Linked DNA regions of Sus scrofa. The protein of the gene in region 1 purifies or fractionates together with the protein of each later gene. This does not show direct contact. Links are inferred from orthologs where the notes say so. Each region holds a gene or a part of one and is shown on either strand. Other genes may lie near its edges.

What was found.
Region 2: the proteins of MICALL2 (region 1) and RAB8A purify together in Homo sapiens (co-immunoprecipitation; 3 studies listed by BioGRID and IntAct, with this or other methods). This does not show direct contact. The link is inferred for Sus scrofa from reciprocal best matches to the Homo sapiens genes MICALL2 and RAB8A.

What each region holds. Positions count from the first base shown.
Region 1 is NC_010445.4:960,862-964,663, reverse strand, and holds part of MICALL2 (MICAL-like protein 2), read left to right. Parts: exon of another isoform or gene 1-180; intron 181-1,155; coding exon 1,156-1,204; intron 1,205-3,195; coding exon 3,196-3,337; intron 3,338-3,802. UniProt on the Homo sapiens protein: Effector of small Rab GTPases which is involved in junctional complexes assembly through the regulation of cell adhesion molecules transport to the plasma membrane and actin cytoskeleton reorganization.
Region 2 is NC_010444.4:61,447,301-61,451,721, reverse strand, and holds the start of RAB8A (ras-related protein Rab-8A), read left to right. Parts: upstream 1-1,370; 5' UTR 1,371-1,395; coding exon 1,396-1,519; intron 1,520-4,421. UniProt on the Homo sapiens protein: The small GTPases Rab are key regulators of intracellular membrane trafficking, from the formation of transport vesicles to their fusion with membranes.

The DNA.
Region 1 (3,802 bases):
ATTGGCCTCCCTGGGCTGTCCCCGGGTCAGGGCTGGGAGCCAGGCCACCCCACTGGCCACAGGGTCTTGGCTCCCTGCTCTGGTTGAGACCTGCCTGGCCTTGAGCCGGCGCCCTCAGATTCACCGTGTGAAGCTTGGGTCACCAGCTTAGACGGGGACACTGCGCTGAGGCCCCGAGAGGTGAGAGGGCGCGCCCGGGTCAGACAGCGGGGCCTGGGTGGGTGAGTGGGGATGCGGCTGGCAGCCGAGCTCGCTCCTGTGCCACGAGGCTTCTGGAACCACGCGTCTCACCCCAAGTGGCAAAGCATGAGGACAGACAGACAGGCGAACCCATATTTAACTGGCCCTGGAGACGTGCGTTCGGGCCGGGCCGGGCCGCCTGCTGGGGTCCGGCTGTGTTTTCTGCTCGAGCATCCTTCTGGCTGTGATGTGTGGGTCTGGGACCCACCTGGCAAGGCCTGCCGTCCAGGCTGGGCAGAGGCCCCTGCACCCTTGGGGTCAAATGTGGGGGGAGCTGGGGTTCTAACATTCCCAGCCTTGAGGGTCTTTCCCTCGGGAGGAGGCTGGGCACCCGGTGGGCACACACACCCAGACACTGAGGCCGTGGCCTGGCTCTGGTCCAGTCCTCCAGCTGTGTGACCTCGGGCAGGTCAGGGAGCCTCTCTGTGTCTCATCTCGTCCATGAGAGGCGGGCGTTGACAGCACCTACAGGTGTGGGTCTGTATTTGTAAAGAGCTGAGAGTGGCAGTGTTCACGGGAGGCACTGGGTAAATAAAGTGACGGGAGCCGGGAGGGGGTCCAGCCTGCTTGCCCAGGGGGCAGGGGGGAGCTCCGTCCATGGGGCCTCTCACCCATGGGATGCGGGCTCCCCAGGACCCCCCCCACCCGCCGCCAGGGCCTCGGCCGGGCAAGGGATGAAGGCTGCAGCCGGAGCCTGTGTGGCCATCGCTGCCCAGGTCACCGGGGGTGCTGGCGGCATCCCTGTGCCCAGAGCCTGTGGCCTGTGTCCAGCCCTGCCCTCGTCTCGATTGCAGTGTGACCTCATTCCTCCCCAGCCTCCGTTTCCCCATCTGGACAAGGTGGATTCGGGGAGCCCTCCTGGTCCCCCCCCCCGGACGCTGAGCTGCTTTGAACACTTGTATTTTCATTTTCCAGAAACTTCAATGCTCTCAGGAAGGAAAACATTTATGAAAACAACCAATTGGTGAGTGCCCCCTTCCTGCTGTCCCAGCTGGGGTGCGCGGTCCCCAGAGTCCCAGGACCTGAGTGGGTGGGGCCTCCCCGTGCCGCTGCTGCCACCTGCAGGTGGCCACGTGGAGGCCAGGAGCTCGCCTCTGGGCTCTGCAGTCAGTCCAGGCCAGGTGACCCCTGCTCCCCAGAATGGCCCCCATCTTGTAGTGGGGCCCTCCAGGTCCCCTTTTTCTTGGCGGGGAAGGGGTGGGGAGGGCAGGGCCCTGGGTGGGTCCTGGCTTGGGTCTGCTCTCAGGCTGGCCTGGGTTCGAATCCTGCTCGGCTGTCCTGCTGTGGAACCCCTTTCTGTGCCAGCTTGTCTCCTGCTGCACAATGAGCTCTGTGACCCCTGTGGGCCGATGCCCGGAAAGGCAGCCTCCAGCCCCGGCCACCCATGTGCACTGCCCCCCGTGTCCATGCATGCCCCCAGCCCGGAGCTGGCATTCCGGCTGGCAGGTCAAATCTGCGTGCCCAGGGAGCCCCACTCGGCGCGGGCAATTTGAATTTAAATCTAACTTAATTGAGATGAAATAAAATGACATATTCAGTGCCTCAGCTGCACTGGCCACGCTTCAGACACTCACTAGCTGCACGTGGACAGCTTGGAGTAGGTCACATCCACCGTGACAGGGTCGTCGGACCGCCCTGACCCTGAGACAGGATGTGGCAGGAACAGGCAGCACAGGGAAGAGGTGGGGTGTCGGGGAGTGGTGAGCGTCTTCAGAAGGGGACAGGGCCAGCCTTGCTGGCTAAAGACAAAGGTGAGGGCCTGCGGGGTGAAACAGTAAGGGCCACAGCTGGGACAGAGCAGGAGATGGGAACAGAGGCAGAGAGGAGCCTGGAACAGAGCAGAAGGAGGCTGGAACAGAGTGGGGAGGAGGCTGGAACAGAGAGGAGAAGGCTGGAACAGCAGAAGGAGGCTGGAATAGAGGGGGAGGAGCCTGGAACAGAGGGGGGGAGGCTGGAACAGAGGGGAGGAGGCTGGAACAGAGCAGAAGGAGGCTGGAACAGAGGGGGAGGAGGCTGGAACAGGAGCAGGGAGGCTCGGGTGTTTTGCTGGCAGCTGCCACCACTTCCCGGGAGTCTGTGCAGAGAGTGGAGGAGGGGGTGACAAGGGGGGCAGCGGAAGGAGTCCCATCTGGATGTCCTCTGGAGTCAGAGCGATGGGAGGCCTATGTTTCTGGTGTGGAGGCAGGCACTGCTGAGGGCTGCAGGTCTGGGCACCCAGGAGCCTTATCTTGGACACACAGAGATTGCGGTGTCCCTGTCACTGCTCCATGGAGGGTGTGGCAGTTTAGGGTGAGGTTAGAGAGGTTTGGGCAAAATCGGGTGAGGCTGGCGTTAGAGGCAGGAGCCTGGCGTTAGAGGCAGGAGCCTGGCCAGGCTGGCGGGGGAGGGGAGGGGAGCGAGGAAGAGCCCAGCACGCCATGTGCAGAGTCCCCTGGCAGAGGAGGTGGCTGCTGGGGGAACCCCTCCCCTGTCCAGCGAATGTCCCTGTCTGAGCCTCCAGGTCCCCCCCCAGCTCTGGTCCCATGTCACCTGCTGGCTTGGGGAGGGCCCGTGCCATGGAGAAAGCTGCCCCCAACCGGGCACATAAGGGCCATGTTGGCCAGGGCGTCCAGGCTGACTCAGGGGTGTGGGGGCCATGGAGGGGTCTCAGCGGTGCCATGGCACTGGAGTCTGGGAACAAGTAGCTGGGGCCCCTCTGGACTGGTGCACGGCCTCAGCTGCTGCTACCAGGTACCCGCAGGTACCCTCCCCGAGCCCTGTGTCCGGGGTGTGAGTCCTGTGTACAGACGGGTAAACTGAGGCCAAGTACGCAGAGCATGAACCTTGAACCCAGACTTTTCTGGGCGTCGAGCGGGTCTGTTGCCTCGGGGCCCCTCCCAGGAGGAGCTGGTGGCCTGGCTGAGGAGGGGGGAGGGGAAGGGTCCCCCTCCTACCCTGCTGACCGCCCCCCCCCAGGCCTTCCGTGTGGCTGAGGAGCAGCTGGGCATCCCGGCTCTGCTGGATGCCGAGGACATGGTGGCGCTGAGGGTGCCCGACCGCCTGAGCATCCTGACCTACGTGTCCCAGTACTATAACTACTTCCACGGACGCTCCCCCAGTGAGTGGGCTGCCCGGCCCCGCGCCCCAGCCCCCAGCACGCGCCCCTCCCTCTGGGGTCCCTGCCCAGCCCCCAGCCCGCACCCAGTGCTGCTGGGCGTTCGCGCTGGGATGGGTCAGGCAGGCGGGGACCTCTCTGGAGCACACATGGTGCCCAGGGCTGCCGCCTCCTCTGAGGGGAGCCAGGGCCCGGTCCTGTGTGACAAGCAGGGTCCCAGCCCCAGGCCTCCTGCCGCCCCTTGGGTGCACGCACCAGCTCCCCCTGCCCCTCCCCAGGCCTGGGTTTGCCATCTGCACCCCTGGGGGTCTGTGCCCAGAGCTCTCGCCTTGGTGGGGTGGCACCCCGGGTGGGCCCCAGGCCTGGCTCCAGACGCCCGGCTTTGGTGCTGCGATCCAGCTGGCCCTGGCAGGGTGTGGCCCGGGCAGGCCGGGGGCGGGGGAGGGGGGGCAGGCCCAGGGGACTTTC
Region 2 (4,421 bases), on another chromosome or scaffold:
GAGAGGAGGTGGTCAATAGTATCAAATGCCACAGAGGCTGAATGCAGCCAGGTGGTCATTGCCTCTGGTTGGTTGAAGCTTTTCCTAACCAGAGCCAGATTAGCCAAAGAATGTGAAGTGGGACAGTGAGGAGAGGCAGCAGTCATCTTTTGTCAAGATCCTTGGGAAGCCTCCAGGCCTGATAGCCCAGAGTGACACATGGCGGTGAGTCCACCCAAGTGATGTGGCTCATCCCTACCACGCAGAAAACTATCTGATCAAGACCTTAGCCTCTGAAGCTGTTCGGTTTGAGTTCAAAAACCAATTTATCTGGTTAAGAGCCTGGGAAAGTCATTTAACCTCTCAGTCTTGTTTTCTCACCGTAAAACTTGGTGGGGGGAAGCGTGAACACACACAATAATACCTACCTCGGTGGGTTGGGGTGTGGACAAAATATTTTATAAATTTTTTTATAAGTGCTGACAACACTGGCAGGCACAGAACCAAAAGCTCTTTAGTATTCCCTCTAATTCTCACTATCCGAACTCTCTCGGCGGGTTCCAAGGCTCCAGGGTGCAACTCAGACGGCTGACTGGGTCGCGGCGGGAGAGGCTCTGGGACAAGTCCTGGGCAACCTCTAAATAGATCCAAGGGAGCATCCTGAGGAGTCCTGCGGACCTCGGGGCGCAGCTTGTGGCTGAGGCCTGGGTGTCTCTAGGAAGATCCGCTGGCCAGCGTCAAGGCCCCGGAGCAAGTCTCGAGGGGGCCTCGTTTCGACTATGACGGTACTTCTGCTCTCCTATCTCTTCGGCTCCGCCCGGTCTGACACGGAAGCCTGCAGACCGCACCACCACCGCCACGCCACATTCCCGCGCTGGACCCGACGCTAATTGAACTTGCTCCGGCCTGGAACAGCAAGAGCCAGAGAACACCCCCACCACCCGCGTGCGCCCTCTGCTGGCACACTACGGCCTTCCCGGCGCGCTTGCGCACGCTCCCCAGACCCCGCCCCAGCTTGAGGGCGCGCGGAGCCGTTGGCCCAGCTGCCCGCCCTCCCCCTCCCATCGGGGGGCGTGGCCGCCCTAGAGTCAGAGGAAGAAGGCGGGGACACAGAGATGCCATGCCCCAGCCTTGTCCCCATTTGAAGCCCCTCGACTCCTCACCACTGGCCAATCGCAGTCCGCCCTGTCCTGAGCGCCGGCCAATGAGCGGCGCCCTCAGGCCGCTTCCGGCTCTGCGCCCTGCTCGCCCCTTCCCCACGTCTTCCTGAGACGGGCGGGGCGCGGGGGCGGGCGTCGGCCGCGGTGACGCGCGGCGGGCCAGGAGCCAATGGGGGGCGGGATCGGCGCTGATGGACTGGGCCAGGGGCCAGTGGCGAGGCGCTGGCCGCACTTCCCGTCGGGGAGAGAGTGTAATATGGCGAAGACCTACGATTACCTGTTCAAGCTGCTGCTGATCGGGGACTCGGGGGTGGGGAAGACCTGTGTCCTGTTCCGCTTCTCCGAGGACGCCTTCAACTCCACTTTCATCTCCACCATAGGTAGTGGGGCCGGGAGCGCGGAAGGCCCAGGCCGGGCTCTCACCCTGAGGGCTGGGACTGAGGGAGCTGCTGAGCGGGATGGACCCGAGATCTGAGAGGGTCGAGAAGGCCGGAGCGGGAAGGAGCAGTAGCCTGCACCGCCCTTTGGGGGTTCCTGGGCCATGGGGCGGGGGTGAGGGTCAGGTACCCAATTTGCAGATGGGAATACTGAGGCCCCAATCCTCAGCCTACTTGTCAGGGAGTGTATGTCCTGGACAGAGTCTTGGCGCCCTGTCATCTTGTTCTTGCATCGGCCCTCGAAGCAGTCTTTGGGGTCTTTGACTTATAAACGTAGAAATGTGGAGTTGTCCATGGGGAAAGGACAGTGACAGGTGACATCTAACTTTATTGAGCTTTTATTGTGTGTCAGGTGCTTTACGTGCATGATCACACTTCCTGGTCCTCTGTGTCAAGTGCTGTTATGAGTTACTTTCACAGAAGAGGCATTTGAGGCTCAGGGAGACTGTACTTGCCCAAGGTCACACAGTCTACTGGTGGCAAGGATGGTATTTGTACCCAGGTGTGTTTGACCCCCCAAACTCAAGGCTCAACCGTCCCAGAGAGATGTGAGCACTCACTCCCCAGGACAAGCATAGCTGATCCATGTCTAAGCCAGGACTCCAACCCAGACCTCTCCTGCTCTTTTATAATGGAATATTCAGGGGTTGAGCCCCCTCCCTGATCCTATTTCCCCTAGAGATGAATTTCTTCTGGAAAGAATGATGAGAGGGAGTCCAGAGACTTTCCTTGCCCAGCTTTCCATCCCACTAGAGGGTAACAGAAATGGCAAGTGACAGCTGTCTGCCCTGGGACCTGTCATCCTGAGGAGATGCCAGATAAAAGCTTCAGCTTAGAAACCAAAATCAGCCACTGCCACAGACAGCCCCAACTTCCCTATCACTAGGGCCAGGACACCAGTTGTCACTTTGCAAAACAGCCTTGCCCACAGGGCCAGCCCACACTGTGGTTGAACAGAACTGACCTGTTGCTTCTCAGTTCTGACATCCACAAAAAGTGGGAGCTGACTTCTCACCAGAAAAAAGGCCATTGCCTGCATGAAAAGGTTTGACTGGGAAGTAACACCCATCAGGCAGAGTGGCCTCTAAGCTCTGCAGCCCTGCTCTGGATGGGGAAGCAGAAGAATGGTCACCAAGCCCAGGGGTTAGAAAAAAACTAGGGAGTAGGTGTTGCTTTACCCCAGTGTATGTTATCTCCCTGAACCCCACAGTGAGCTGCTAATTCCATCCTTGCCAGCCTCCAAGAGCTGCACTTTGCAAGATACTTAGGTGCCAGATGTAAAGAGAATTGGACTAGAACTCATCATGCCTGTTTCCCAGCTGCTGTTCGTCCTTTAACAAGCACTTTGCCTCTCTGAGCCGTAGGACTAGTGTTCTTTGCCTTGGCCAGTACCCTGGATGGTTGAGGATCAGAACTGTATAATGATAAGGGGGTTGTCACCACTGCCAGAGGAAGGAAGCAGAATGTCTCTTATAATGACAGTATTCTTCCCTGGGCACAGATGTTTCTGATTCCTCCCCTTCCCTAACTCCAAGGTCAAATTTTGGGGTAACCCTTCCATCCCCACCTATCAGGAAGTGATATCAACTCCTGGTAGACTGCAGCTCACCCTCAACCCAGACTTCAGTTTCCCAGAGTCAGAACCTTCCTAGTGAGATCAATTCGGAGGTTGAATTTTTTTGTTGGGTTTTAAATTCTTGACCACAAAAGCAAGGCTAGCCCTTTAGGGCTCTGAGAAGGCCGGCCTCCATTTCCAGATGAGGATGTAATTTGGGCAAGGTCATCTAAGGAGGTGGATGTGACACATGAACCCAGAATCCCTCTCTCCTACCCTGATATTCTCATTATATTTGTAAACTTCCTGCAGGCCTCTGTCTTCTAGGAAAGTTTAATTCCCTTTGACCTTGAAGTTATGGCCTCATAACTCTTGGGCCTCATAAAGTTTACACTTCCTAATTAAATTTGGTGTGTTAATAAACCCCAGGAGGAGGGTAGGACAGAGTGATGCTTTGGGCTCTGTTCATTGAACAGAGCTTTTGACTTTGTATGTCCCTATGCCATCTGTCACAGGAGTGGGGATGTTTTAGGAAGAGTTAACACTGCGCAGCTTAGTCCTGAAATACAACCTAATGCATAGAGGCTATTCTCTATCGGCACTGAGCGTACCTCTGAATTTTCTTTATAGATCAGAGATTAAGTGACTCTTCATTTTGTGCCCAGGTTATGTTTTGCCAAAGACTGTTCTCAAGAGCTCCATCGATCATTTGTGGTGTGAACTTGGCCCGGTGGCTCCTAGAGTCAGCTCTCCCTAGCCTGGCTCAGCCCCCATCTCCTCCTCTGGGCCTTGTTCATTCATTCCTTCAGGGAGACAGATGATGTACTTGAAAGTGCTTAGTAAATGGTGCAGCACCACATAGATCCCATCGCTCTTTATTCTTGCATCCAACCATCTTTCCACAGTGCCCACTGCGTGCCAGGCACCCGCCTCAGTACAGGGGTTGCAGGAATGACTTGGATGAATCGGGGGAAGCAGAACTCTAACAGGGCCTGTAGTTAGGATGTGTGTGCCAGTCTGGGTGATCAGCTTCTAGCAAATACATACACAGCACCTGCCTGCTTAGTCACTGAAGATGCAACCATGACTAAGACGTGTGAGCCTCTACCCTCCTGGAGCTTAAGTTCTAGTGGGCAGAATTTAAATGCAGACTTAAATTCCCTGTGATCCCTAGGACAGCTTCTGAGCTGAACAGAGATGGAATTAGCATCCCCATCCTGGGTTCTAAGGGGTCAAGCCAGGACTTAATCTCAAGGCTTCATAGGCGGAGATTTAGAACACCCCCCACCA